7 linked regions of the Callithrix jacchus genome follow. Each later gene encodes a partner of the first gene's protein in a complex. Links are inferred from orthologs where the notes say so. Each region holds a gene or a part of one and is shown in the gene's direction. Other genes may lie near its edges.

Region 1 (3,500 bases):
ATAGGTGTGAGCCACCATGCCCGACGTGTATTTTTAGTAGAGATGGGGTTTCACTATGTTGGCCAGACTGGTGTCAAACTCCTGACCTTGTGATATGTCCACCCAGCCTCCCAAAGTGCTGGGATTACAGGTGTGAGCCACCGCACCCAGACAGTGGACAGTAATTTTTTAATGTTTAGTGTGATTTTTTTTTATGCTAGGTTTCCTAAAATGGAATTTCCTATAATGGAATGGTCAGAAAGTTTCTCAAAAGCATCTTTTCAGAAAGCATCTCAGAAAGTCATTGTAGGTTCCACTGAGGATTATGTGTTATATGGAATTGGAAATTTGTAGTCTTAACAAATTATTTTGGGCCGGGCGCGATTCCTCAAGCCTGTAATCCCAGCACTTTGGGAGGCCGAGGCGGGTGGATCACGAGGTCAAAAGATCAAGACCATCCTGGTCAACAAGGTGAAACCCCGTCTCTACTAAAAATACAAAAAATTAGCTGGGCATGGTGGTGCGCACCTATAGTCCCAGATACTCGGGAGGCTGAGGCAGGAGAATTGCTTGAACCCAGGAGGCGGAGGTTGCGGTGAGCCGAGATTGCGCCATTGCACTCCAGTCTGGGTAACAACAGCGAAACTCCATCTCAAAAAAACAACAAAACAAAACAAAACAAATTATTTTGTTTAATTCCTTAAATGGCTCATTGGGGAAAAACATTGTATGGTACACCTGTGCTTGAGAAAAACAGAGAAACGTTTTGCTAGGTCTTTGCCTCTAAGAAGTAAATGGAACTTTGTGGATAAAGTTTGTGGAATTCTTATTGCCCTTGGATGAAATGTGGACACAGGAATGAGTGGCGGTTTGTTCTTCCCTGTGTCTCCAGGTCCCACAGAGTGTGGATCACTGGGAAGATGAAGGGTTCCAGTCAGCATCCAACCTGACTCCTGATTCCCAGTCTGAGCCCAGCGTGACCCCAGACATGGACCTGTGGGAAGCCGCACTCACCTACGAGGCCAGCAAGCGGAGGTGCTGGGAGCGAGTTGGATGGTGCGTGCCCTTCTTTGCCTTGGCATGCAATGCCCTACACCTGTGTGAGCATGGCCTTGGGTGTGTGAGGGGCATTGCTGTCTCAGGGGCCCAGGCAGTTGTGATGGGTTAGGGACCTGGAAGTTTCGGTTAAGGTAGTGTCCAAATGCAGAGGGGCAGAGACCAGCAGCCTTTAAGGGGATCTCACCTCCCTGTGCCAGTAACCAGATCATATCTTCCAGGCAGAGCAGTAGGGGACAGCTAAGATATGTACTCACTATCAGTCAGAGGTGCCTGAGAGCTGCCTGGCAGGGTGTGTGGTCAGTGCCAGGAAATGCTTACCGGGCACTGGGTGCTGATGGAGCCTTTTCCATCCATGTCTGGAGGAGGTGGGGTGCTGAGGAAGGACCCTTTTCCATCCATGTCTGGAGGAGGTGGGGTGCTGATGGAGCCTTTTCAATCCATGTCTGGAGGAGGTGGGGTGCTGATGGAGCGTTTTCCATCCATGTCTGGAGGAGGTGGGGTGCTGATGAAGGACCCTTTTCCATCCGTGTCTGGAGGAGGTGGGGTGCTGATGAAGGACCCTTTTCCATCCGTGTCTGGAGGAGGTGGGGTGCTGATGGAGGACCCTTTTCCATCCGTGTCTGGAGGAGGTGGGGTGCTGATGGAGGACCCTTTTCCATCCGTGTCTGGAGGAGGTGGGGTGCTGATGGAGGACCCTTTTCCATCCGTGTCTGGAGGAGGTGGGGTGCTGATGAAGGACCCTTTTCCATCCGTGTCTGGAGGAGGTGGGGTGCTGATGAAGGACCCTTTTCCATCCGTGTCTGGAGGAGGTGGGGTGCTGATGGAGGACCCTTTTCCATCGGTGTCTGGAGGAGGTGGGGTGCTGATGGAGGACCCTTTTCCATCCGTGTCTGGAGGAGGTGGGGTGCTGATGGAGGAGCCTTTTCCATCCATGTCTGGAGGAGGTGGGAGTGGCACTCTGGGTGATGAGAAGCTGCAGCTGCAGCAGCTTTTCCCTGCCTGGTGCCAGCAGCTTGCTCTCTGGATGCAGTAGCCACTCTCTGGCTCATCTGGGTCCAGAGGCCTCTGCACTCAGGACCTCTCAGTCTGTAATGTGGTGGTATCTTTTCATAACTTCCAGAACCCAGGTAGAGAATATGCATTTTGGCTGGGTACGGTGGCTCACACCTGTAATCCCAGCACTTTGTGAGGCCAGGATGGGCAGATCACTTGAGGTCAGGAATTTCACCTGGCCAACATGGTGAAACCTCATCTCTACTAAAAATACAAAAATTAGCCATGTGTGGTGGCACTTGCTTGTGATCCCATCTACTCGGGAGGCTGAGGCACGAGAATCGCATGAACCCAGGAGGCAGAGGTTGCAGTGAGCTGAGATTGTGCTACTGCACTCCAGCCTGGGCAACAGAGTGAGACTCTGTCTAAAAAAACAAAGAGTACACATTTCCCAAAATGTTTGTTTGGCCATGGAATGCCCTGTTCACATCCAGTCCACTGGGGATTCTGTTGATACCGGTTTGGGGAGTGTTAGGTGAGAGAGTCAGGGCTGGCCAGGAGCTGAGTGCTCTCAGATGCAGTGTTGGGGCTCCTGCAGGGCCTGGAGAGGAGCATGTGCCCCCTTTGAGCTTTCCTGACATCATAGATTCCTCCAGGGATGGCTAGCTCCCTGCTTCCCAGCACAATGGTGGTGGTGGCATTGTCCTGACTGCCGGGGGCTTTCCTGCTTCTCAGCACAATGGTGGTGGTGGCCTTGTCCTGATTGCTGGGGGCTTTCCTGCTTCTCAGCACAATGGTGGTGGTGGCCTTGTCCTGATTGCTGGGGGCTTTCCTGCTTCTCAGCACAATGGTGGTGGTGGCCTTGTCCTGATTGCTGGGGGCTTTCCTGCTTCCCAGCACAATGGTGGTGGTGGCCTTGTCCTGATTGCTGGGGGCTTTCCTGCTTCTCAGCACAATGGTGGTGGTGGCATTGTCCTGACCGCCGGGGGCTCCCTGCTTCTCAGCACAATGGTGGTGGTGGCCTTGTCCTGATTGCCGGGGGCTCCCTGCTTCTCAGCACAATGGTGGTGGTGGCATTGTCCTGACTGCGGGGGGCTTTCCTGCTTCCCAGCACAATGGTGGTGGTGGCATTGTCCTGACTGCGTGGGGGCTCCCTGCTTCTCAGCACAATGGTGGTGGTGGCATTGTCCTGACTGCGGGGGGCTTTCCTGCTTCCCAGCACAATGGTGGTGGTGGCATTGTCCTGACTGCGGGGGGCTCCCTGCTTCTCAGCACAATGGTGGTGGTGGCATTGTCCTGACTGCGGGGGGCTTTCCTGCTTCCCAGCACAATGGTGGTGGTGGCATTGTCCTGACTGCGGGGGGCTCCCTGCTTCTCAGCACAATGGTGGTGGTGGCATTGTCCTGACTGCCGGGGGCTCCCTGCTTCTCAGCACAATGGTGGTGGTGGCATTGTCCTGACCGCCGGGG
Region 2 (3,500 bases), on another chromosome or scaffold:
AATCTGTACAGTCACGGCTTCGACATGGAGAAGATTCCACTCCACATGTTCTCACTGAGCAACAGGCAACCAAAGAGAACCTAATTAAGATGCAGTCCATTGCTGAAAGGCATCTTGAACTGGATGGTGTTCACGATCCACTGCTTGCCATTAACTTTGCAAGGTGATAACCACCTGCAAGATTATCAGTGATTGAAATGGCGTCATCTGTGCAACGTTCGGTAACTGTTTATTTCTGGAAGGCAGGGCTTTCCAGGGCCAAAACAAAAACACGTGTAGGCTGTCCTTTTGTTTTGTTCTGTTTTGTTTTGTTTTTTCCTTCTTTTGTTTTTGAGACAGAGTCTTGCTCTGTCGCCAGAGCTAGAGTGCAGTGGCGCGATCTTGGCTCACTGCAACCTCTGCCTCCTGGGTTCAAGCAATTCTCCTGCCTCAGCCTCCCGAGTAGCTGGGACACCAGCTAATTCTGTTTGTATTTCAGTAGAGACAGCGTTTCACCCTGTTGGCCAGGATGGTCTCGATCTCCTGACCTTGTGATCCAATGGCCTCGGCCTCCCAAAATGCTGGGATTACAGGCGTGAGCCACCACGCCCAGCCTTGTTTTGTTTTCGAGACGGAGCCTCACTCTGTCTCCCAGGATGGAATGCAGTGGTGCGATCTTGGCTCACTGCAGCCTCCGCCTCACAGGTTAAGTGATTCTCCTGTCTCAGCCTCCCAAGTATCTGGACTGCAGACATGCACCACCATGCCTGGCTAATGTTTTGTATTTTCAGCTTTCATCATGTTGACCAGGCTGGTCTCAAACTCCTGACTTCAGGTGATATACCCACCTTGGCCTCCCAAAGTGCTGAGATAATAGGCGTGAGCCACCACGCCCCGCCTGTCTTTTACAATGAGCAGAATACAAAATGTGCTGGCCTATTTCAGGTATATAGTTTGGATTCTGTCATTTGTGAAAGTCTGCAGACTTGGCCCTGCCACCATGTGGTAGACCCTGTGTCTGTGCCCTCAGGCCCCTGGAAGTGTCATCATTTACCCAGGATGTGCTGAAACTCTGGGCCATGTGTGGGCCCTGGACATCCATTGAGTCAGGGTCCCCATTGCCATATGTCCTCGGCTTAAGCTGCTTTTAGGCACTTTGCCCAGTAGTGTAAGTCATTATTACCCACAGTTTTGGGTTGTCTAATGGCCAGCATTTGCTACATGCAGCCTTAATCACTGCAAAGATCGGCTCTAAGGCCGGGCACGGTGGCTCACGCCTATAATCCCAGCACTTTGGGAGGCCGAGGCGGGTGGATCATGAGGTCAACAGATCGAGACCATCCTGGTCAACAAGGTGAAACCCTGTCTCTACTAAAAATACAAAAATTAGCTGGGCATGGTGGTGCGTGCCTGTAGTCCCAGCTACTCGGGAGGCTGAGGCAGGAGAATTGCTTGAACCCGGAAGGTGGAGGTTGCAGTGAGCCAAGATTGTGCCATTGCACTCCAGTCTGGGTAACAAGCAAAACTCCGTCTCAAAAAAAAAAAAAAAGATCGGCTCTAGTACCTGACCCTAGGGCAATGGCAACTTAAAGAGACTGGTTCTCTCAAAAGATATTTTGGGGAGAAAGATTTTTCGCTTTCTGTAATAGTTGGTAACTTCAGGACTAAAGGTAAAAATGGGAATTTGGGGTTTTAAGAGAATTTTGTTGACAGCCACTTATAAAAAGAAGACTCACATTTTTATCTTGAAGGATGTATTTGGAGCAGAGCGACTTTCATGAGAAGTTTGCTGGTGATGATGTGTGTGTGGATAGATCATCAGAATCTGTGACATGCCAGACCTTTGAATTAACGCTGAGATCCTGCCTCTATCCTCATATTGATAAGCAGTATCTGGATTGCTGTGGAAATCTCATGCAAACGCTAAAAAAAGATTACAGGTAAAAGAGTAATTTGATTTTGGAAGTAGTAAATAGATGATTGTACTTGAAGAGCAGTTGAGATTGTTTTAAAAACCTACATTTCAATTCCATTTTTATTAGAGTAGGAAATGGATATGCAGTAAACAATTTTTTTTTTTTTTTTTTTGAGACTGAGTTTCGCTTTTGTTACCCAGGCTGGAGTGCTGTGGCGTGATCTCGGCTCACTGCAACCTCCGCCTCCTTAGTTCAGGCAATTCTCCTGCCTCAGCCTCCCAAGTAGCTGGGACTACAGGCACGCGCCACCATGCCCAGCTAATTTTTTGTATTTTTAGTAGAGACGGGGTTTCACCATGTTGACCAGGATGGTCTCCATCTCTTGACCCCGTGATCCACCCGCTTCAGCCTCCCAAAGTGCTGGGATTACAGGCGTGAGCCACCGCGCCCGGCAGTAAACAATTTTTTAAGAGAAATCAATTGACCATCAATATTTTCTTAACCATGTTTTGAAACTTATTTGGTTATTTCTGAGGATCTTTCCCAAAAGAAATGTGGGAAAAACTTGTAGAAAAATGTTACAAAGTTTGTTACCAGAATGAAAAACACAAAATTACTTAGTGATAGATGACTAGTTCTTTAAGCTATGGCATATCCATAAATATGGCATATATATACCCATGTGTGAACTTTGTAAAGTTTATAAAAATTATGGCAGTTAAAAAGTAGAATATATAATATGGTAGGAACTAGGTTTTCTTAACACATAGAAGAGAAGACAGGAAAGAAACATTCCAAATATTAAATATTAATGGTGGAAATCCACCATGAATCATGGGATTTGGATTTTTTTTGTTACATTTCTGTGAATGCCTAATTTTCTGTAACGTTATAGAAGGTCACCTTCTGATGATGAGAGGAAAACCTATGCTGTTTTTATTCTTGAAACAAGTCTTAAGAGGTGTTAATATTTCTAATTTTAGTAAAGGTAGACTGTAAACTTGTTTCACTAAAAACCGTAGGGTCCAAAACCTGGTATTGATCCCTAATCCTGCCTTACAAATGTCAGAGATCTTGGGTCACTCATTTCCTCTCCAGATTGGTAGAATACTTGCAAGCCATGAGGAATTTTTTCTTAATGGAAGGAGGAGATACCATGTATGACTTCTACACATCAATTTTTGATAAAATAAGAGAAAAGGAAACCTGGCAGAATGTCTCTTTTCTTAATGTCCAACTCCAGGAAGCCGTAGGACAACGTTATCCTGAAGATAGTTCACGGTAAAATATGGACGCCACCTTTATTTGAATTAGTATAAAATGAACTATGTGCCAGTAAGTCTTCTATGAATTATACATATTATTTTTCCTTGCACCATTCCTATGAGTTTTACTAATATTATTTTACATATTAGAAAATTGAGGCCAGGCGTGGTGGCTCACACCTGTAATCCCAGCACTTTGGGAGGCAGAGGTGGTGGATCACCTGAGGTCAGGATTTCAAGACCAGTCTAGCCAACATGGTGAAACCCCATCGCTATTAAAAATACAAAAATTAGCTGGGCATGGTGGCAGGTGCCTGTAATCCCAGCTACTTGGGAGGCT
Region 3 (4,157 bases), on another chromosome or scaffold:
GTGTGAATATACTGAAAGCCACAGAACTGTATGCAGTGCTTACAAATGGTTACAATGGTAAATTTTAGCCAGGAGTGGTGGCTTATACCTGTAATCCCAGCATTTTGGGAGGCCGAGGCAAGAGGATTGATTGAAGCCAGGAGTTCAAGACCATCCTGGGCAACACGGTGAGATCCCCATCTTTATAAAAATACATTTTAGGTCAGGCATGGTGGCTCACACCTGTAATCCCAGCCCTTTGGGAGACTGAGGCTGGTCGATTATGAGGTCAGGAGTTCGAGACCAGCTGGCCAATATGGTGAAACCCTGTCTCTACTAAAAATACAAAAAAATTAGCCAGGCGTGGTGGCACGTGTCTGTAGTCCCAGCTACTCGGGAGGCTGAGGCAGAAGAATCACTTGAATCTAGGAGATGGGGGCTGCAGTGAGCCGAGATTGTGCCATTGAACTCCACCCTGGGCAACAGAGGGAGACTGTCTAAAAAAAAAAAAAAATTTAAATGGCCAGGCACAGCTCACGCCCGTAATCCCAGCACTTTGCGTAATCCCAGCACTTTGCGTAATCCCAGCACCTTGGGAGGCCGAGACCCGCGGATCGCTTGAGTTCAGGAGTTTGAGACCAGCCTGGCCAACATGGTGAAATCCTGAATGTACAAAAATTAGCTGGGTGTGGTCACGGGCACCTGTAATTCCAGCTACTTGGGAGGCTGAGGCAGGAGAATTGCTTGAACCCAGGAGGCGGAGGTTTCAGTGACCTGAGACCGTGCCACTGAACTCCAGCCTGGGCAACAGAGCGAGACTCTGTCTCAAACAAACAAACAAACAAACAAAAACCATATATATAAATTAGCTAGGCATGGTGGCACATGCCTGTAGTTCCAGCTACTCGGGAGGCTGAGGTGGGAGGATCACTTAAGCCAGAAGTTCAAGGCTACAGTGAGCTATGATCGCGCCACTGTATTCCAGCATGGGTGACAGAGCGAGACCCCTCTAAAAAATAAAAAATAAAAAGGTTACATACATGTGTATGTGTGTATTGTAACACCATTAAAAAACAGAAATTTAAAAGAAGAAAAGCTGGCTTCTAGCACCTGGAACTAGCAAAGCTGACAGTCACTCACCTACCAATATAGGTAGGTGACTCTATACCTGGACAACCACATCCACCTGGTTGCTCCGCCCCTTTCTTCCCCTCCCTGTCCCTCTGCTCCCCTCCGCGTCCCTTCCCTCTCCTTCCCTCTCCTCCCCTCTCTTCCCCCCACACATCCAGGTTCCGACCTTGCCACCCCCAACGAGTCTCACTGCGCAGGCGCGGACCGGTGGGCAGGAGCGGGCGTGGCCTCACTCTGCGCCTGTGCCGAATTCCAGCTGCGACTGCTGAGGGAGAAAATGATGCCCAGGTTGGGCTCCTCGGCCCGCCGGCCGAGGAAAGGCCTGCGTTGCACACGCGCAGACCGAGCATCCGCGTCAAGAGGGGAAGAGAGAGCGCGCTCCCCACGTCTGGCGCGCCTGGCTGCCAGGCATTCGTCTCAGCCGTGACTCTCGCCAGGCCGGGGCTGGCGCGCCCACGTCTGAAGAGTGATGCCCCGGGAGATCATCACCCTGCAGCTGGGCCAGTGCGGCAACCAGAGTGAGCAAGAGAGCGCCGGCCCCGCCGGTCTCTGGTTCTGCCCCTTCGGGTCCCACCCAAGTGCCTGGCTTCCACCTTTCCCTTCCATGAACCCCCTACCCTGCTGCTCTGGATAACCCGACCAAAGCTGCGCCTCCAGCCCGGAGCTGGGGCAGCTCCCAGACCCCCACATCTTGGGTCCACCCTCTGATCGTGTCAGCCTCTGAGACTAAAACTGGGTTCCTCAGGCCTTAAGGCTCTAGCAGACCCGGGCATCTCCCTCCTCCCCCAGTTGGGTTCGAGTTCTGGAAACAGCTGTGCGCCGAGCATGGTATCAGCCCTGAGGGCATCGTGGAGGAGTTCGCCACCGAGGGCACTGACCGCAAGGACGTCTTTTTCTACCAGGTGCCCCCAGCAACTTGGCCAGGGGCGGCAGTGGCCCAAAGGGCCGGAAGGGAAGGGAGTGGCCTGGTACTGGAAGGGGAGCCCCACTGGGCAAAGGGGCCAGGCGGCTGGCTTGAGGAGGGAGGGCCCAGGGAGCCAGAGTTGGGAGGACTTAGGACTTGGGCCGCCCTGGCTGATTGGTCTTCCTCCTGGACTCTCCTTGACAGGCAGATGATGAGCACTACATCCCCCGGGCCGTGCTGCTGGACCTGGAGCCCCGGGTGATCCACTCCATCCTCAACTCCCCCTATGCCAAGCTCTACAACCCAGAGAACATCTACCTGTCGGAGCATGGAGGAGGAGCTGGCAACAACTGGGCCAGTGGATTTTCCCAGGTGTCCAGGCCACCATTCCAGAGACCTTTGATATTCCCACCCAGAGGCAAGGCAGGCTCAAGCTACTAGGAATTTGACCAGACTGACAGAAAATAAGAGAGAAAAGGATGCCCAGAACAAGAGAGACAGTCAGGGAGAGGTTTATGCAAATTTTGTGCAAATCATTTGCAAAAGTAGCACTTCTGGGTTGAGGGCTACAGCCCTGGGTCTGCTTCAGGGTGGCAACAATATCCCAGGGAAGACAGAATTCTTGGTGCTGTGCTGAGAAAAGATGAGCTCTGGAACCTTTGTCCTGACTCCTTTTCCATATCTCTATACAGGGTGAGAAAATTCATGAAGACATCTTTGACATCATAGACCGAGAAGCAGATGGAAGTGACAGTTTAGAGGTGAAGTTATGGAGCAGGGGAAGGAATGGGAGGGAGGCTAGGCTGAAGAGTGCTGGGGAAAGGTCAGGAGGTGGCCTGAATAGGTGATGTGAGGGGAGCAATTCAATTCAAAACCCATTTATGGAGCATCAGATGTGGAATATTGAGGTAAATAAGATATAGTCTTTGTTCTCAAGGAAGTCATAAATCGGGATGGCACCGGCCCCTTAGGCATGAGTCATTCAGCTTCTTCACCAGCTCCAAACCTTCCCAAGGAGCCTCAGCCTGGATACATAAGAGGAAGCTTTGAGACATGGGCGTTTTGGGAATGGGGAATGAGTCATGCCGAAGTCTCTCCCCCAGAACCTTGGAGACTGCCTCTCCATCTCTCCCCATGCTGGGTGCAGTATGTTCCCGGCTCACAGTTCTTATAACCCATGTAATTTCCTAAGAGACTTGAGCAATAAGGGTATGTTTTGTTAAAATATTTGACCTTTTGTCCTTGGTTTCTGAAACAGCTCCAGAACAGCTCCAGAGTGATAAAGGTGAAAGACAGTCTGTTATTTATAACACGCCCCTTTCTTTTAATCTGTCATTTTATTTAATTAGTTAATTTTACTAACCACTGTACTAAGGAGGAACAAATGCCTTTCAACCAAATCTGAGCTTATGTCATTGAGGTGATGTTTGGAAAGTCCCAGATAGCCACTGGATTGGGGGCTGGTTACCAGGGAAACAAGCCTGGTGCTCTGAGGGTTGGAATTTACAGGCCCACCCCTCACCTCTGGGGAGGGGAGAAGGAGTGAAGATTGAGTTGCGCATCAATTGCCAGTGATTTAATCAATCATGCCTGTGTAATGAAGCCTCCATAAAAATCCAAAAGGACTGAGTTCGGGGGCTTCCAGGAAGGTGAGCAAGAATACATCCACATGCTGGGAAGGTGCAAACCCAACACACAGGGCAGAAGTTCTGTGCTCCAGACCTTTCCAGAGCCTCCCCTCAATGTCTTCATCTGGCTGTTTATTTGTATCCTTTAAAATATCCTTTATAACAAATGGGGAAACATAAGTGTCTCCTTGAGTTCTGTGAGCTACTGTAACAAATGAATTGAACCCAAGGAGCAGTCCTGAGAACGCTGATTTATAGCTGGTTGGTCAGAGGCACAGCTAACACAACCTGAAGCTTCTATTGGCATTAGGAGTAGGAGAATCTTGTGGAACTGAGCCTTCACTCTGTGGGATCTGATGCTATCTTCAGGTACAGATACTCCTCAACTTACAATGGCTTTATCAGGATGTAAACCCATCATAAATTGAAAATGTCAACTAGGCATAGTGGCTCATGCCTGTAATCTCAGCACTTTGGGAGGCCAAAGCATGTGGATCACCTGAGCCCAGGAGTTC
Region 4 (3,500 bases), about 190 Mb from region 1:
AAGTTTGAAAACTTTGTTAATGTGTATAGCATAGCACATCTAAGTACTTTCAGTTTAAGCTGAATCAGAATCATTTTTTTTTTTGGAGATGGAGTCTCACTCTGTTGCCCAGGCTGGAGTGCAGTGGTGCTCACTGCAACCTCCGCCTCCTGGGTTCAAGTGATTCTCCTGCCTCAGCCTCCCTAGTAGCTGGGATTATAGGTGTGCACCACCACAACTGGCTAATTATTGTATTTTTAGTAGAGACAGGATTTCACTGTGTTGGCCAGGCTAATCTTGAACTCCTCACCTCAGATGATCCACCCACCTCGGCCTCCCAAAGTGCTGGGATTACAGGCCAGTATTTTTGAGACTGTAAAGAAATGTAACTCCACAATAATTGGTAAGCCCTGTTTGCAGTTAATGCCATGAGGCTTTCGTTGCCACATTATTGTATTGGTCCCATTTTTCTTTTGAGTTGTTATGATTTGAACTCTTAATTTTTATAGTTTTTAAGCTTTTTTAAAGTTAAGAATTAAAGTAATATTTTCTTTAATTTTTAAAAAATTTGTTAAGACCAGAACTTGTCCGTCCAGCTACGACTTTATATCAGCATAACCTGACTGGGATTCTAGAAACTGCGGTCAGAGCCACCAACGCACAGTTTGACAGTCCTGAGATCCTGCGAAGGCTGGACGTGCGGCTGCTGGAGGTACTACTGTGGCCCCGTGTGTTGGGAACGCTGCCCCGGCCCTGAGGACCCCTGGGCTGGGGTGTCGTAGCGAGTGCTTTCCATGTTACTTCAGGCACAGCTGGTCATTATGTTTCTGGAAACTGGGCAGCCTGAGTAGGAATTCCACTCTCCCTTGTTACTGCATGGCCAGCTCCCCCTCTACTCCACTCTGTGCCTCTGTGCGCTCATCTTACAGCAGGGAGCCTTGCAGGGCTGCTGGGCTTAAGTTGGAGAAAATGCAGGACACCCTTGCCCCGTGCTTGGTAGCACATTGCAGATGCTTAGAAAATAGTGCTTCCTTCTCACAGTGAATCTGACAGGAGCACAAGACATGGTATATAATGATATTTATCAGAAAATTGATGTTTTTAGTTTCAGTTTGGTAGGATGTGACTTTTCTTAAGGGTATGGATATTTTAAACATAAACCCACTATTTGCTTAGTTGTGATGAAAGATCATTAGCAAAACCTATTGGTTTTCTTAAAATGTCCAAAGAGTCATGTTGGAATAGCTAAGGATTTGGAACATACTTAGTTCCAGTGGGCTTTTGTCATAAGCAAATGACAATGAATTTTAAACACGTATCCACAGTATTCATTCAGAAATACCTTGCTTGTTGCCAGATGTTTGCAGAGCACCTACTGTGTGTTCATTGCTGTCTAATTGGTAAGGTTATAGACGTTAACAAGAAGATGCACTCGGAACTGTTGAGCAATTTGTAACAATCGGGCGCTCTTTTACTGCTGTTTCTTTGAGTCAACACGTCCTCAGTTATGTGTCTGCAGTTACGTGTTTGTTTCTGTTAGGTCTCTCCAGGCGACACCGGGTGGGATGTCTTCAGCCTCGATTATCATGTGGATGGACCAATTGCAACTGTAAGATGATCCTTTTATAGTATTTGCAGCTGTTAGGATTGCTAAACATTTTGTTTGAAATCGGCTTTCTTCTCTGGGGACTTCTAATTAAAGTGATCACTCGACATCTAAGACATACTCATTGAATGAATACTTAAGCCAAAATTGTGTGTGTATTTTAAATGATTATTAATGAGTACTGAACTGCTCTATTATTTTAAAAATTCTTAAAAATATTATTTGTTTAGGAGAATTGCCTGAACCCAGGAGGCGGAGGTTGTGGTGAGCTGAGATCGTGCCATTGCACTCCAGCCTGGGTAACGAGCCAAACTCCGTCTCAAAAAAAACAAAAAATATCATTTGTTCTATCATAGGTTTCAGCAAGTCCTTAATAAATAGATTGTTCATTTCATTCCATTATTCTTAGACTGTAGCAACTAATTTAGGATAATTTGAAAGGAGCTATAAAGTGTATTTTAGGGGAATTACACTTTCCTTCAGAGAGAAAGTTTGATGTTTGTATTCATTTAAACTGATGATGAAGTAGCTGTACTTTGTTCATAGTGCTTCAACCTGCATAACACTTACCAAATCATAAAAGGCTGACCAGGGACGCCGTCTTTTTCCATGTCTGCACTCAAAATACCTCTTTTCAGTGCTCATTTTTAAAGTATTCAGACTCCAGTACATTTCATTGACCAAGATACCCCTTTAAACTTACTTCAGTTATCTTTGTATCTGAAATACTGAAGAAGGACATTGCATTTCTTTGAGGTTTTGGGGAAAGTATTTTGTTGAGAAGGAATATAGTTGGGCTCTAAAATTTCTTCTTGGTTGCTCTGGAAGAGCCTGCTTCGCACCTTTCCCCACGTCTCAGGTTCACATCACGCTGCTGAAATCATCGCGTCAGGGCACGCTCACCCTGTTTTCTTTTGGGATTAAGAAACCTGCCACTGGTGAGCCTGTCTCCTACAGTAAGGTGGGAGCCGCTGGTGCGATTTTTTTTTTTTTTTTTTTGAGACGGAGTTTTCGCTCTTGTTACCCAGGCTGGAGTGCAATGGCACGATCTCGGCTCACCGCAACCTCCGCCCCCTGGGTTCAGGCAATTCTCCTGCCTCAGCCTCCTGAATAGCTGGGATTACAGGCACGCGCCACCATGCCCAGCTAATTTTTTGTAATTTTTAGTAGAGACGGGGTTTCACCATGTTGACCAGGATGGTCTCGATCTGTTGACCTCGTGATCCACCCGCCTCGGCCTCCCAAAGTGCTGGGATTGATTTTTTTTAACATGTAAGTTCCGGGTGTGTAGCCTTTATGGATCAAAGCTACTATATTTTAAGTGCATAGCCTCACTTCAGATTTAATTTCTCATCATATTCAAATCCCCGTTTTCTCCTTTGACTTATGTCTTAAACAATTTAAAATGGTTGTAATGCAAGAAGTAGTGTGATATTTTAACAAATTATTTATTTATTTTTGACAGAGTCTCACTGTGTCGCCAAGTCTGGAGTGCGGTGGTGCGATCTTGGCTCACTGCAACCTCTCCTGGCTGGGTCCAAGTGATTCTCCTGCCTCAGCCTCCCAAGTAGCTGGGATTACAGGCATGAGCCACCATGCCTGGCTAATTTTAAAATTTTTGGTAGAGATGGAGTTTCTTTCAAACTGTTGGCAAGGCTGGTCTCGAAAGTCCTAACCACCACCTGCCTCCCTCCCAAAGTGCTGGAATGACAGGCGTGAGCCACCATGCCTGGGCTTCACAAATTATTTAAATTAGTAACTTTCACATCTCCTGCCTTATTAATTTGCGTACATTACGTGTTATTTTCATAGCATAAGAGATACCATAGTACAGATAATTGCGTAGATTATTTCACAAGATCTGAGAGCCTTGCCAAATAGGTGAACTGAACATTGCCTAGATAATTAATTATTT
Region 5 (3,500 bases), on another chromosome or scaffold:
TTAATAATTTTTTTTGTTCATTATATTGTTGTTTCTGGTTCTAGCATGATGTAAAGAATCATCGTACCTTTTTAAAGCGGACCAAATATGATAACCTGCACTTGGAAGATTTATTTATAGGCAACAAAGTGAATGTCTTTTCTCGACAGTTGGTATTAATTGACTATGGAGATCAATATACAGCTCGCCAGCTGGGAAGTAGGAAAGAAAAGTAAGAAAATAATTATGTATTCTTTTTCCATTCTCTGACTTTAAGCCCAAAGTCAGGCAGAATTAAGACTGGGAGGTTTAACCATAATGAGGACAAATAGGACCTGGAAAATGGTTGTCTTCATTCTTTCTTTTTCTTTTCTTTTTAATTGAAAAATAATTGATAATATCATAGTTGTTTATGTCTCATCTGACTTAATCATATTTATGTCTCCTGTGGCACTTAGCACGTCTCCTTCCATAATGCAAGCACCTTCTCTGTATTAGCTGAATGAATTCATAAATCACAATTTAAAAATCTATTATTTATTCTTTCCTTTTTCCATTTTCTCCCTGTTTTCAAATGATGATCTTTGATATAGTTGACCAGGAAGATTTTGTCTAGATTGTTTGTAACTAATGCTGTCTGTTCTTGAGCTTTATTAACAGACATATATATCTAAGAAATGTTGATCAACTGATCAATTGAAAAATGACAATATGAGTGTTGTAAAAAGGAAAAAGGAAAGAAACCATATAAAGAAATTGTGATACTGGGAGACTGATCTGTCTTGTTTGTAACTGTATCTCTAAAAACTGTTATAGCGATACCTCAAACAGTAAATTATTCAGAGTGTGACCCACAAAAGTTTGTTAAATAAATGAGTGAATAAATTGATGTCATCGAAATGTCTGGAGTATGGTATGTCAAAGGAAGGGTTTCCCAATGGCTGGCATCCCGCCTCCTTCTCTTCCTCCCACTGCATGTGGCTCATTCTATGAAAGACAAACTGTAGCATGATGCCTCCACCTGTGTCTCTATTCTCTCTATTGTTTGTCAAAACTGCATTTATCATTCATTTTCTCAGTTTTGATTTAGAAGAGATACAGTCATCTGTAAAAGGGGTTAAGAAAAAAATTAGAAGAGAGAACAATTTGAAGATGCAATTGAAAGTTAGACTTACAGAAAACTAGGACTTTTGATAATGTTTTTCTTCCGAATATTGATTTTCAATATTAGCACAATGGCATTTTAATTTTCAGTCTCTGCATTTATGAGTTTCCAGTTTCTAAGACTAGAATTAATTATATTTGAAATGAAATTTTAATTCCTTTGTCATCTTTCTTGGCTCTGATTGCTGTAGCTTATATTTTATATGGTTTGGGGAGATTTTTTTTTCCTGCAGAGTGATTGGTATTGTAACTAAAAATAGGGATTATTAGTAGAAGTTAAGACTGTATGTATAAAAGGCTCCAAAAATGACTTAATTCAATAGGGAAAACAAATCAATCAAACTGTTTTTTGAAATCTACTACTCAAATGATTAGCTGATTGCATAGCATCTGAGTCACTCTCATAATAACATGGTATCTCTTTCTGTGACTTCCATAGTCTTTCTATACAAGCACTTTATAATTCTTGAGGTGACTGGATTCTCAGTGTGGCTGTTAGTACACAAATGGTGTTAGTACACAAATGGATCAGAGGGGTGGTGAATGCCTCATAAAAAAGGAAGACCAAAGACTCCCTTTGAAATAGGACAAACATTTCAGATATTAAATAAGGATCTTTTAATGTTATGAGATCTTATGTAAAAGTCTATGGGATTAAGGAAATGCCAACCATAATTCCTTTATTTAAAACTAATAAATATATGTAGCATTCGTTTATGGAGCACATACTATATGCCAGTCATTACAATACTCACTTTACATACACCTCAGTTCAAGACTACTTTATTTTATTATTATTATTTTTGAGACAGGGTCTGCTGGCTCTGTCACTCAGGCTGAAGTGAAGTGGCATGATCATAGCTCACTGTAGCCTTGACTTCCCAGGCTCAAGTGATCCTCCCAGGTCAGTCTCCTGGGTAGGTGAATCTACAGCCCTGCACCACTATGCCTGGCTAATTTTTTGGTGTTTTGGTAGAAATGCAGTTTTGCCATCTTGCTTACGCTGGAAGACTACTTTAAATATTTAAACTAGCAAAATAAGTGACTTAGGGAGGCAGGGTTAAGAGTCTGACCTAATAAAAATAAAATAGCCATTAAAATTATAATTTACATATTTTAATTCTGATTTGACAGAAGTGAATGTTGTTAAATCTATTTTATAGAATGGGTAAGTAACTTGTCTGTAGTCACACAGCTAGAAAGTAAAGGGAAATTGTATTTTTTGTCTAAAATTCATTCTCTTTCTACTAAACCTCTAATTAATAGGGCAGGTGCTGTTGAATGGGACTGATTTGAAAACAGGAGGAACGGAAGAATTCTATTTTAATATGAAGACAAATTTGAAGTATTTGGGCTTCATATAGTTAATGAAAATATATACAGTATATATTTTACTAACTCAAATTGATTCACCATCTTCTCTTCTTACTCTTTCTTAACTCCATATGGGTTAGAAAATCCAGCAGCCCTTTGGGTGATTTAAATAAATTTCTTCGAAACCCAAGAGTTTCAAAAATGTATTGTTTTATTTAAATGGCAAAAAGTAAAGATATGAAAATATATGTATATGTCTGTCAGCATTCTACAGAAACACCTTCTGTATAATAACTGATTTAGTCTAGTTCTCAGTTTTGTATAGTGTTGAGGAAAATTTATGAACGAATTACACTTTAGTCTTTTGTTTCTGTAATAAAGCTGGTAGTGAGGATGATCAGTGAAATTGATCCCATGGAGCTAACTGAGGAGCAGTTATCCAGATAATTTAATATAATTCAATTTAACTCATGAACTAGCTTCAGCTTTCCAATTCCCTTCGACTGTAGAAATCTGACATTTGGTTCACATTTCTATCCTCTCTATATAAAGATCCTCTAATCACATGGATGAAGGTTACAAGTTGTCAATGAGTCAGTCTTTGATTTTAATTTTAGCTAGTAATCAATTGATGCTTTATGACTCTGTTGTTTAGTTGTAGAGACACAATACAATTTGTGTCTTTCTAAAAATTTATTACCTCAAACCAGAAATAATTAAAAAGTTTTCATATGAAGAGTCAATATATATATGTATGTGTGTACATGAATGATAGAGGAATTTTATATGACAAGGAAGCTATTCCCCATATGATAAATGAGGTATTAAATGTTTACTTTGGTAGCTTTATAGCTATAGTAAGAAGTTTATAAAAATTAATGAAAAATAATGCCAGTATCCTATTTAAGAATTCATTAATTTTAAGTACTGAGCCACATATTTACATTCAGCAGTCCCATTCCTTTTGAATCTCAGCCGGAAAGCAAACCATCTAATCAAATGAAAGGGAGAAAGGTGAACAACATTATAGTAAATGCTAAATA
Region 6 (3,500 bases), on another chromosome or scaffold:
TCACTTCTTTTATTTTGGAGGTGGAGTCTCACTCTGTCACCCAGGCTGGAGTGTAGTGGTGCATTTTTGGCTCACTGCAACCTCTGCCTTCCAGGTTCAAACAATTCTCGTGCCTCAGCACCCTGAGTAGCTGGGACTACAGGTGCACACACCACCACACCCAGCTAATTTTTTATTTTTAGTAGAGACAGGAGGGTCTCACTCTGTTGCCCAGGCTGGTCTTGAACTCCTGCAGACTCATTTTGTGAATGTTACTTGCTGGGTCTCTGGTTCTTGATTAACCAAGTCGTTATCTTTTCTTTTTTTCTTTTCTTTATCACAGCAGATGCTACTCAGGCAAGAGAAGGTCCTTCTCGGGAAACTTCTCCCCGGGAAGCCCCTGCATCTGGCTGGGCAGCCCTAGGTCTTTCCTACAAAGTACAGTGGCCACTACATATTCTTTTCACCCCAGCTGTCCTGGAAAAGTGAGTATTTCTGAGTTTCTCTCACAGGTAAATATAACCCACCTTCTTGCAAGGGAAAAAACTAGCAGGAATAGAATTACTGGGAGAACAAGCTGTGGTAGCACATGTCTGTAATCCCAGCTACTCCAGAGCCTGAGGCAGGAGGATTCCTTAAGCCTAGGATTTCAAATTCGTCCTGAGCAATATAGTGAGACCCCATCTCTTAAAAAAAAAAAAATGAATGGGAGCAAGATAGCTACCCAACTAGTTTTTAACAATCTGTAAATCAAAAGTTGTAAACGCCTATGCCTTCACGGGGTAAACTGATCACATTAGTAAGTGAAGCTCAGATATGAGACACAGGGAGTGGTGGGTGTTGAAATCCACGGGAGGGCATATACCTACTTCAAACCGTTGTTTTGTTAATTGCCAAATAACAAGCAGTTTGTAGGCTGCCAGTTTGTGACCTCTGGAAAATAAGGTCTCAGGTACCATGTCGAGATAATTGCCCTTGATGATTCCCTCATGCCTGACAAGGTCTCTGTCCCTCAATTTTGTAATATTTTTTGTTGATTTACTTGGGAAAGTCCTCCACCCTGCATGTTTGCTGTGGATGTCAGCCGCTGGGGAAAAGGTTGCCTCCTTACCCTCAGGGAGAGATAACAGGGGCAGCCAAGCTTGGGGATGGAGTAAAGGAGCTGACCAAGTTGGAGTCTCTTTCTGTCAGGTCACCCTTGCTCTTTATCATGAGAGCTTGCCAAGTGTTACTGCTTGGCTTGGTCAGGACCTAATGTCCCCAAACCAGAGATCTACAGAAAAGAGGAAAGAGAAGCAAATGTGGCTGGTCATGGCTTCTGAAATCTACCCTCACACCGTATCTAGGAACTTCCCAAACCCAATTACTGGTCAGAGAACTGGCCCCTGGCCTGGAAGGAGACTTGAAGCTGTCATACTCAGTGAAACCAGAGGAATGAAGAAAAGGGAAACAAACAAAAAGGCCATCTCTTCCTCCAGCCACCACTCTTATTCCTTCCTGTTCTTCTTCCTAGCCCTCTCCACGTTTTTGAGGTAGATAAGCTTAGGGTAGAATAGACTGGGCATAAACTAGAAAAGATGAGGCTGGTTCAGGGAGAAAATTCTATGGCAAATTCAGAGCCCATGGCCCAGCTAAAAGCAAGTGGCATGGACCCTGTACAAAGAACTTCCAAAGATCTTCAGCTCCCAGGATCCTGTAGGCCAACAGCCTACTTACCTCCTAACTGGATATGCTCTCAACACCCTTGAAGAAATCAAGTTTAGAAGTATTTTTTTTTCATTTTCATTATAAAAATTTATAAATCTAAACAAAAATATAGACTATAACAAACTCCTGTGTCCTCATTATTCACCTTCAGTAACCATCAACATTCTACTACTAGTTTCATCTGTCCCTCCCCCACTTTTGTTGTTGGAGCTGTATAAAGCAAATCATAATCCATTCATTCTGCCAATAAACAATTGAAAAAGGCATATTTCAGCAGGACTAGAATGCTATTATCACATCCAATAAGATTAACAATAATCCCTGTAATCTGATATCCAGCCTACATTGAAATTTCTCCAGTTATCAAAAAAAATCTTTATGTTTGGGTTTGTTCAAATCAGTATCCAAACAAGGTCTATTATTTTATTATGTTTGTTCCTTTAGAAATAGATAATTTTTAAAACCAAACAGAATGGGACTGTCTTCTGCAAACCTGCCTACAAACAGGTAAATAAATCCAGTTCTACCAAGAATCAGCTGTTCTTCCCATGTGTCGTTTCAGTATGGGGCTTCAGCATTAAGCAGTTAGCTCCTGAGCTTGCAGGGAGGCAGGAGTTTATCTTAGAGGGAAGCTTTGGGCTTCAGGGACAGAGAATCAGCTTCGTCATAATCCTTGATTCATAACACACTATTTTTTTTTTTTTTTTTTTGAGACAGGATCTTGCTCCATTGCCCAGGCAGCACACTGCAGCCTTGACCCCTGGGCTCAAGCGATATTCCTGCCTCAGCCTCCCGAGTAGCTGGGCTGTAGGTGAGCACCACCATACCTGGCTAATTTTTTAAATTTTTAGTAGAGATGGCATCTCACTATGTTGCTCAGGCTGGTCTTGAACCCCTGGGCTTAAGCAATTCTTCTGCCTTGGCCTCCCAAAATGCTTGGATTACAGGCATAAGCCCACCACATCTGGCCTGTTTAAAGAATTATAAAAAAAGCTTTATGTAATCTTTTGTGATTTACCTTTTTCATGCAAAAATCATATTGCTAAGAAGCAATATGAGTCAACTATTCAAAAAGGGATATTTCAACAGAACTATAATGCCATTGTCACAGCCAATAAAATTAACATTTCTCCCTTATAATCTGATATCCAGTCCATATTGGAATTTCTCTAGTTACCTTAAAAATTGCAGAGATGGGGTTTCACCTTGTTATATAGCTGGAGTTCATTCATTTTGGCTGCTATATGATATTCCACTGTATAGATAAATTACAATTTATTTGTCTACATGTCTAGTCATTCTTTCCTTACTGCTTTTTTCTGAGATGGGTGGGTAGCACAAAGTCCTAGAGTCTAATGTGGGGGAAGTACAGGGGGTGAAATTTTCATCTTGAATATCCTGTTGTTTCTGTCCTAGATACAACGTTGTTTTCAAATACTTATTGAGCGTGCGCCGGGTGCAAGCTGAGCTGCAGCACTGCTGGGCCCTACAAATGCAGCGCAAGCACCTCAAGTCTAACCAGACTGATGCGATCAAGTGGCGCCTAAGAAATCACATGGCATTTTTGGTGGATAATCTTCAGTACTATCTCCAGGTCTGTGCTGAGAGATGAGTAGAAGGAAGGGATACGGAAACAAGCCTAGGAGGTTGGCAGGGAGTATCAAAGAGGGACTACAGTTTTGTATTTGATAAAATGGTGGGGTTTGAGAAAATTCAGGAGTTATATCACTAGGCATGTTTCTTTAAAAAGCATTTTATTTTGTTACTTTTTAGACACAGGGTCTTACTCTATTGCCGAGGCTGGAGTGCAGTGG
Region 7 (4,254 bases), about 180 Mb from region 1:
TCATGGAGATTAGAATAATCACTAGGACTTTCAAAAGGATTTAAAACAGGGATCCTTCCTGGAGTTTCTGGTGTTATTTGCATTTTTGATTCCTTGACATCTCCCATAGCACAAAGAGGAAACTAAAAAGAAATCGAGTATGCATGTTAAAATTACCGAGTCCTATAGATATTAACTATTAAAATGTATTCGACAAACACATGTGTCACAAAAACAACTCAAAACTTAACACTATTGAGGCTATGTTAGAGCTTACAAAAAAAGTATCACAAATTTTCTCAAGTGATCCTCAAAATAACCTTGGAAGCTACAGCAGTAAGTTATTAGTGATATCATTTTGCGAAAGAATTAATAAGCTCAGAGAAGTGTAGTGGCTTATACACAGCAGTCAACAAATATGAATGAGTTCAGATCTGCCGTGAGTTCAGAGACTGTACAACCCTACGCCGCCACTCTTTCTGGTGCCCCTCTCTTCCACACCTACTTCCTGAGGCAACTAAAGGTTACAAGAGGCAAGATCTCTTCTCAACTGAAGGACTTATATCTACAATTTTTTTTTTAATTCATCATCTCATGTCTCAACACTGTGAACATCCTTCGGATACCCTATCCAGCTACAGTTGCTATTAAACAGTTGTTTGTAGGAAGCAGGTAAGAGATGAGGAAGCTTGTGCTGAGTTCTATCCAGAGAAGTATGATTGACAGGGGTTAGGAAATTAACTGGTTGGGTGCCCTTTCCTCCAAAATCCTCCCTTCGCCAACCCCCCCGCCCCAGCACAGAAAAAGAGACTGCATTACTTCCGATCGAAGGAAGCTGTAGAGGCTACAACTTGGGAGGGAGGTGGAGAAGAATAATCTACTTCTGGAAGGTTGAAATGCAGCCGGTTTCCTCGGGTGGAGCGCGGAGGAAGTGTCACCCACAACCCTACGCGGCCACTCTTTCTGGTGCCCTTCTCTTCCACACCTACTGCCTGACTGCTCCCATTCACCAGGGGCGAGCGGGCAGGCAAGAGTTGAGCCGGAAAAGAAAGCTCTCCATTCAAACAGGAGAAAAGGGTGGGGTCCACAAAGAACGTACCTACCGGTGCATACAAAAGGAAGCCCCCAATACCTTCTCCAGCGAGCTCCCGTGGACCGAGCCAGCTTCCACGACAAGCAGACTCTTTAACTCCCCGCTTCCGCTGTGTCTTCGGCCAACCAGGGCACGGGACTTGTGAACGACTGACCAATAGCATCGCCCCGCCGTCCGCGAACCAGCCAATCGCACGGAGGCCGCTTAGGAAATTCGAATAGCAACTCCCCGCTCCACGTTCCGCGCAGAGGAACGAGGCTCCAAATTCAAATCAACGTAGCCTCACGCCGGCGGCAAGCGCGAGGGGCGGAGCCTGCCCGGCGTGAGCCGGGACGCGCGGTGTGATTGCCCCGCAGAGAGGAAGGCGCTCCAGTTCCGGGTCAGGCCCTTCTCCCGCCTCCCTCGGCCTCAGTCATGGCGAGTAGCAGCGGCGCCGGGGCGGCGGCGGCAGCCGCGGCGGCGAATCTGAATGCGGTGCGGGAGACCATGGACGGTGAGTGCCCGTTGCGCCCTCTTTACCTTGCCTGCCTTCCCAGAGCCGAGGCCCCCAGGCGGAGCGGAGCCTGGAGAGGACTCTAGGTCCTCCTCCTGCCCCAAACGGCATCGTCAAAGATCTTTGGAAGAGACCTGCCAGGGCTGTAGGACTAATGGCCTTATCCCTGGAGAGTTGTCTCCGCCACTGCGTAGTTTGTCGCGCGCGCTAGGCGTTCCGGCCCCCTGGTCAGCCCGTTGCGCACCGCGTCCCTCTCGCGCCCTACCCGGAATGCAGCGCCCCCTCTATCCCGCGTCCCCGGTCCGCGTGACCCGCCCGCTCTCCTGTGGTGACGGCCCCACGCGCCACGCCTACCCCACGCAGATACCCGTTCTCTTCTGCGCGCCGCGCCCCACCCAATTCCCGCGGGCGTGCCGTGCGGGGCGCTTCGGGGGTCCCCAAGGCTGAGATCCCGGCGTGGACCGGGGCCAGGTGTTTGGTCACCGCTATGCCTCGTGTCCTTGGCACTTCTGTAGGCGCCGTTAATATCCTGCGAATGAACAAGTTCAGAATTGTCCTAGTTTCCTCTTGAAGCGGGTGATGCCAGTGCTCAAGTGCTGTGAGTGTCGCCTGTTTTTGGTCCGGAGGCACCTGCGAGTGAAGCCTACACAAGCGTGGTAGAACACTAATAGTGTCTTGAGATTTCCCTCTCTCCATCCTTTAATGTCGGTTCTGCCACTTTGTGCCCCTGTGCTGAGCTTGGACTAGATACTTAAACATCATTGAGCCTGTTTGGCTTTTTTTTCTGTAAAATAAAATCATACCTCTTAGAGTTGTTGTGAATATTTAAATAAGACAACCAGGTAAAAGCATATCTTGGTTGATCCATTATTTTTCATATTATATCAGATGTCATTTCCCTCGTAGTCTTCTTACTTTGTCTCCTTTTTACTCATATCCACCTGTATATGAGTGTGTGATCCATGTTAAATGTTGTCATTTGCAGTGGGCCTAGACATTTTAACTTCACCCAAAGAATAAAAGGGCTTGCATAAATGAAAGGTGACAATGGAATCTTTATCCTACCCAATGCGATAGATATAAATAGTAATTAAATGGTTGCCCTAACAAAAGGTAGACATGTAACCAATTTGTAGGTATATGAGAATTTACTGTGAATAAAGGTAGCATCTCAACTGGGTGGGGAAAGCTTAGGTCGTTCAATAAATTTTACTGGGGCAACTGGCTCATTTCTGGGAGGAAAAGTTAGATCCTATTTTCCACCAAAACTCCAGGGAGATAAATACCTACTGGGGGGTATTGGGAAATAAACTTTCAAGTGCTGGAAGAGAATACTGGTGGATATAATCTTTGCATGGGGAATAACTTTCTAAGCTTAATGCCAAGGGGAAATGATGTAGGAAACAATAGATAATATGTTGACAGTTAAAATATTCTAAACTCTCTGCGAAGCAATCATAAAATTCAATGGAACCAGTGTACTTACAACCTGTAATGGAAGGGATTCTTGGAAAATCACATTGGAAACCAGGTTTCTCTGTTAGTACTTCTCATATTAAAGACAAAGACTTCTACCAAGTACAATAAAATGCAGCACTATACAAATGAAGTTTAAAAAATATAAGGTTTCATTTTTATTATTAGATTCAACAGACATGATTACACTGAAAAGTTTCTAAACACTTTTAAAACCTTAAATATGTACTTTTTTCTCTTTTTTTGCCTAATATATGTCAATTCAGCAAGTTAAATATGTATATTACTGACTGAGCAGTTCTATTTCTAGAAATTTATCCTAATGAAATAAAATATAGTATGTACAGATTCTTAATATTATTTAATGTGGGAAACATGAGAGCAGCCTAACACCTAACTGAGTAGTTAAACATAGTGTTTCCATCAAATGGAATGATACTCAACTAATTAAACTGCATTTTAAAAGAATACTAAAAAATAAGAAAGTGTTCAGAATTATCCTAAGTGTGGTGGATATGTGTTAGATAGATATTAAATGAGTGCTAGAATATATACCAAGATGGAAAAGGCAGTTATGTGACGTGAAGTTGTAAGTTTATATTTAAGTTTCTAAGATGAAGTAAAGGCAAGACAGTATTACATGCAGATTTCCAAAACCTGGGATGCTATGCTAATTCCCTGGTATTGTGCAGTGATATATAAATTAATAAAAGTACTATGTGCATGTTTTTCAATGCCATAAGCTTTTTTTTTTTAAGTTTTCTTTATATCTTTTTTCAGTTCTGCTTGAGATTTCAAGAATTTTGAATACTGGCTTAGATATGGAAACTCTGTCTATTTGTGTACGGCTTTGTGAACAAGGAATTAACCCAGAAGCTTTATCATCGGTTATTAAGGAGCTTCGCAAGGCTACTGAAGCACTAAAGGTTAGAGATTCCTATTAGTTCATTCTAAATAAAGATGCTTCTATTTAGAAAAATATTAATGAAGTTATGGGGAACATCCTGGTTAAAAAAGATTAAACTAACATCCAACACCACCAGAAGACAAGGAGCTAAATAGCGTATGTTCATATCACAAAAATTACTACTACCATGGACCATGTTGTATTTTCCCAGAAGTCTCTATTTTTAGAATTGTGCTGTGTCATGAGTAAAATTGTGCCTGTTCCAGAAAAGATACATTCAAGTCCTAACCTGTGGTCCCAAAGTCA

Evidence for each region.
Region 2: the proteins of TUBGCP6 (region 1) and TUBGCP5 are in contact, whole or in part, in a cryo-EM structure (PDB 7QJE), measured with the Homo sapiens proteins. The link is inferred for Callithrix jacchus from reciprocal best matches to the Homo sapiens genes TUBGCP6 and TUBGCP5. Residues at the interface, in NP_065194.3 of Homo sapiens: Glu290, Ala291, Ser292, Lys293, Arg294, Arg295, Cys296, Trp297, Glu298, Arg299, Val300, Gly301, Cys302, Pro303, Pro304, His306, Arg307, Glu308, Glu309, Pro310, Tyr311, Leu312, Glu314, Lys322, Arg325, Leu326; in NP_443135.3 of Homo sapiens: Asp211, Asp212, Arg213, Trp215, Leu216, His219, Val220, Val221, His222, Trp225, Ser230, Phe232, Pro233, His234, Leu238, His239, Ser240, Asn241, Leu242, Leu264, Val265, Thr266, Glu267, Thr268, Gln269, Arg272, Val302, Thr303, His304, Leu305.
Region 3: TUBGCP6 (region 1) and TUBG2 share a complex: the UniProt entries of both Homo sapiens proteins name them as parts of the gamma-tubulin ring complex. The link is inferred for Callithrix jacchus from reciprocal best matches to the Homo sapiens genes TUBGCP6 and TUBG2.
Region 4: the proteins of TUBGCP6 (region 1) and TUBGCP3 are in contact, whole or in part, in a cryo-EM structure (PDB 6X0U), measured with the Homo sapiens proteins. The link is inferred for Callithrix jacchus from reciprocal best matches to the Homo sapiens genes TUBGCP6 and TUBGCP3. Residues at the interface, in NP_065194.3 of Homo sapiens: Pro65, Arg67, Asn68, Leu71, Met72, Ser74, Phe75, Asp76, Arg78, Asp87, Glu90, Asp151; in NP_006313.1 of Homo sapiens: Pro9, Asn10, Val11, Leu13, Gln14, Glu25, Ala26, Ala29, Gln30, Phe32, Gln33, Val36, Arg37, Ile39, Gly40, Ser41, Phe43, Thr129.
Region 5: TUBGCP6 (region 1) and NME7 share a complex: the UniProt entries of both Homo sapiens proteins name them as parts of the gamma-tubulin ring complex. The link is inferred for Callithrix jacchus from reciprocal best matches to the Homo sapiens genes TUBGCP6 and NME7.
Region 6: the proteins of TUBGCP6 (region 1) and TUBGCP4 are in contact, whole or in part, in a cryo-EM structure (PDB 7QJE), measured with the Homo sapiens proteins. The link is inferred for Callithrix jacchus from reciprocal best matches to the Homo sapiens genes TUBGCP6 and TUBGCP4. Residues at the interface, in NP_065194.3 of Homo sapiens: Leu312, Thr313, Ala315, Gly316, Arg317, Ala319, Phe320, Phe323, Leu326, His327, Glu349, Pro390, Glu391, Ser392, Ser395, Leu396, Glu399, Tyr403, Ser455, Leu456, Leu457, Thr458, Gly460, Phe461, Lys464, Lys465, Arg468, Arg471, Tyr472, Glu475; in NP_001273343.1 of Homo sapiens: Met1, Ile2, His3, Glu4, Leu6, Leu7, Ser10, Gly11, Tyr12, Pro13, Gly14, Ser15, Ile16, Gln29, Phe31, Pro32, Phe33, Leu34, His35, Pro36, Glu38, Thr56, Ile59, Glu60, Thr63, Val66, Gln67, Gln68, Ile84, Arg87.
Region 7: the proteins of TUBGCP6 (region 1) and MZT1 are in contact, whole or in part, in a crystal structure (PDB 6M33), measured with the Homo sapiens proteins. The link is inferred for Callithrix jacchus from reciprocal best matches to the Homo sapiens genes TUBGCP6 and MZT1. Residues at the interface, in NP_065194.3 of Homo sapiens: Met1, Ala2, Ile4, Leu7, Phe8, Asp10, Leu11, Cys12, Ala14, Leu15, Pro17, Ala33, Leu37, Val40, Ala41, Ala44, Leu45, Asn48, Ile70, Leu73, Lys85, Arg88, Leu89, Leu92, Val93, Glu95, Leu96, Leu104, Leu105, Ser109; in NP_001065243.1 of Homo sapiens: Asn17, Ala20, Val21, Thr24, Val27, Leu28, Glu30, Ile31, Ser32, Ile34, Leu35, Asn36, Thr37, Leu39, Glu42, Thr43, Leu44, Ile46, Cys47, Arg49, Leu50, Cys51, Glu52, Gln53, Ile55, Asn56, Pro57, Glu58, Ala59, Leu60.

Annotation. Positions count from the first base shown.
Region 1 is NC_133502.1:218,817,571-218,821,070, reverse strand, and holds part of TUBGCP6 (gamma-tubulin complex component 6), read left to right. Parts: intron 1-871; coding exon 872-1,035; intron 1,036-3,500. UniProt on the Homo sapiens protein: Component of the gamma-tubulin ring complex (gTuRC) which mediates microtubule nucleation.
Region 2 is NC_133507.1:1,848,464-1,851,963, forward strand, and holds part of TUBGCP5 (gamma-tubulin complex component 5), read left to right. Parts: coding exon 1-163; intron 164-1,730; coding exon 1,731-1,919; intron 1,920-2,993; coding exon 2,994-3,176; intron 3,177-3,500. UniProt on the Homo sapiens protein: Component of the gamma-tubulin ring complex (gTuRC) which mediates microtubule nucleation.
Region 3 is NC_133506.1:121,228,168-121,232,324, reverse strand, and holds the start of TUBG2 (tubulin gamma-2 chain), read left to right. Parts: upstream 1-1,357; 5' UTR 1,358-1,579; coding exon 1,580-1,628; intron 1,629-1,899; coding exon 1,900-2,012; intron 2,013-2,218; coding exon 2,219-2,386; intron 2,387-2,706; coding exon 2,707-2,775; intron 2,776-3,272; coding exon 3,273-3,299; intron 3,300-4,157. UniProt on the Homo sapiens protein: Tubulin is the major constituent of microtubules, protein filaments consisting of alpha- and beta-tubulin heterodimers. Gamma-tubulin is a key component of the gamma-tubulin ring complex (gTuRC) which mediates microtubule nucleation.
Region 4 is NC_133502.1:27,997,016-28,000,515, reverse strand, and holds part of TUBGCP3 (gamma-tubulin complex component 3), read left to right. Parts: intron 1-555; coding exon 556-691; intron 692-1,519; coding exon 1,520-1,588; intron 1,589-3,500. UniProt on the Homo sapiens protein: Component of the gamma-tubulin ring complex (gTuRC) which mediates microtubule nucleation.
Region 5 is NC_133519.1:33,151,153-33,154,652, forward strand, and holds part of NME7 (nucleoside diphosphate kinase homolog 7), read left to right. Parts: intron 1-44; coding exon 45-211; intron 212-3,500. UniProt on the Homo sapiens protein: Possesses an intrinsic kinase activity. Displays 3'-5' exonuclease activity with a preference for single-stranded DNA. Does not seem to have nucleoside diphosphate kinase activity.
Region 6 is NC_133509.1:31,140,268-31,143,767, forward strand, and holds part of TUBGCP4 (gamma-tubulin complex component 4), read left to right. Parts: intron 1-322; coding exon 323-464; intron 465-3,102; coding exon 3,103-3,280; intron 3,281-3,500. UniProt on the Homo sapiens protein: Component of the gamma-tubulin ring complex (gTuRC) which mediates microtubule nucleation.
Region 7 is NC_133502.1:42,552,907-42,557,160, forward strand, and holds the start of MZT1 (mitotic-spindle organizing protein 1), read left to right. Parts: upstream 1-1,454; 5' UTR 1,455-1,486; coding exon 1,487-1,565; intron 1,566-3,821; coding exon 3,822-3,967; intron 3,968-4,254. Other genes in the region: BORA (protein aurora borealis), read right to left, coding at 1-107. UniProt on the Homo sapiens protein: Required for the recruitment and the assembly of the gamma-tubulin ring complex (gTuRC) at the centrosome.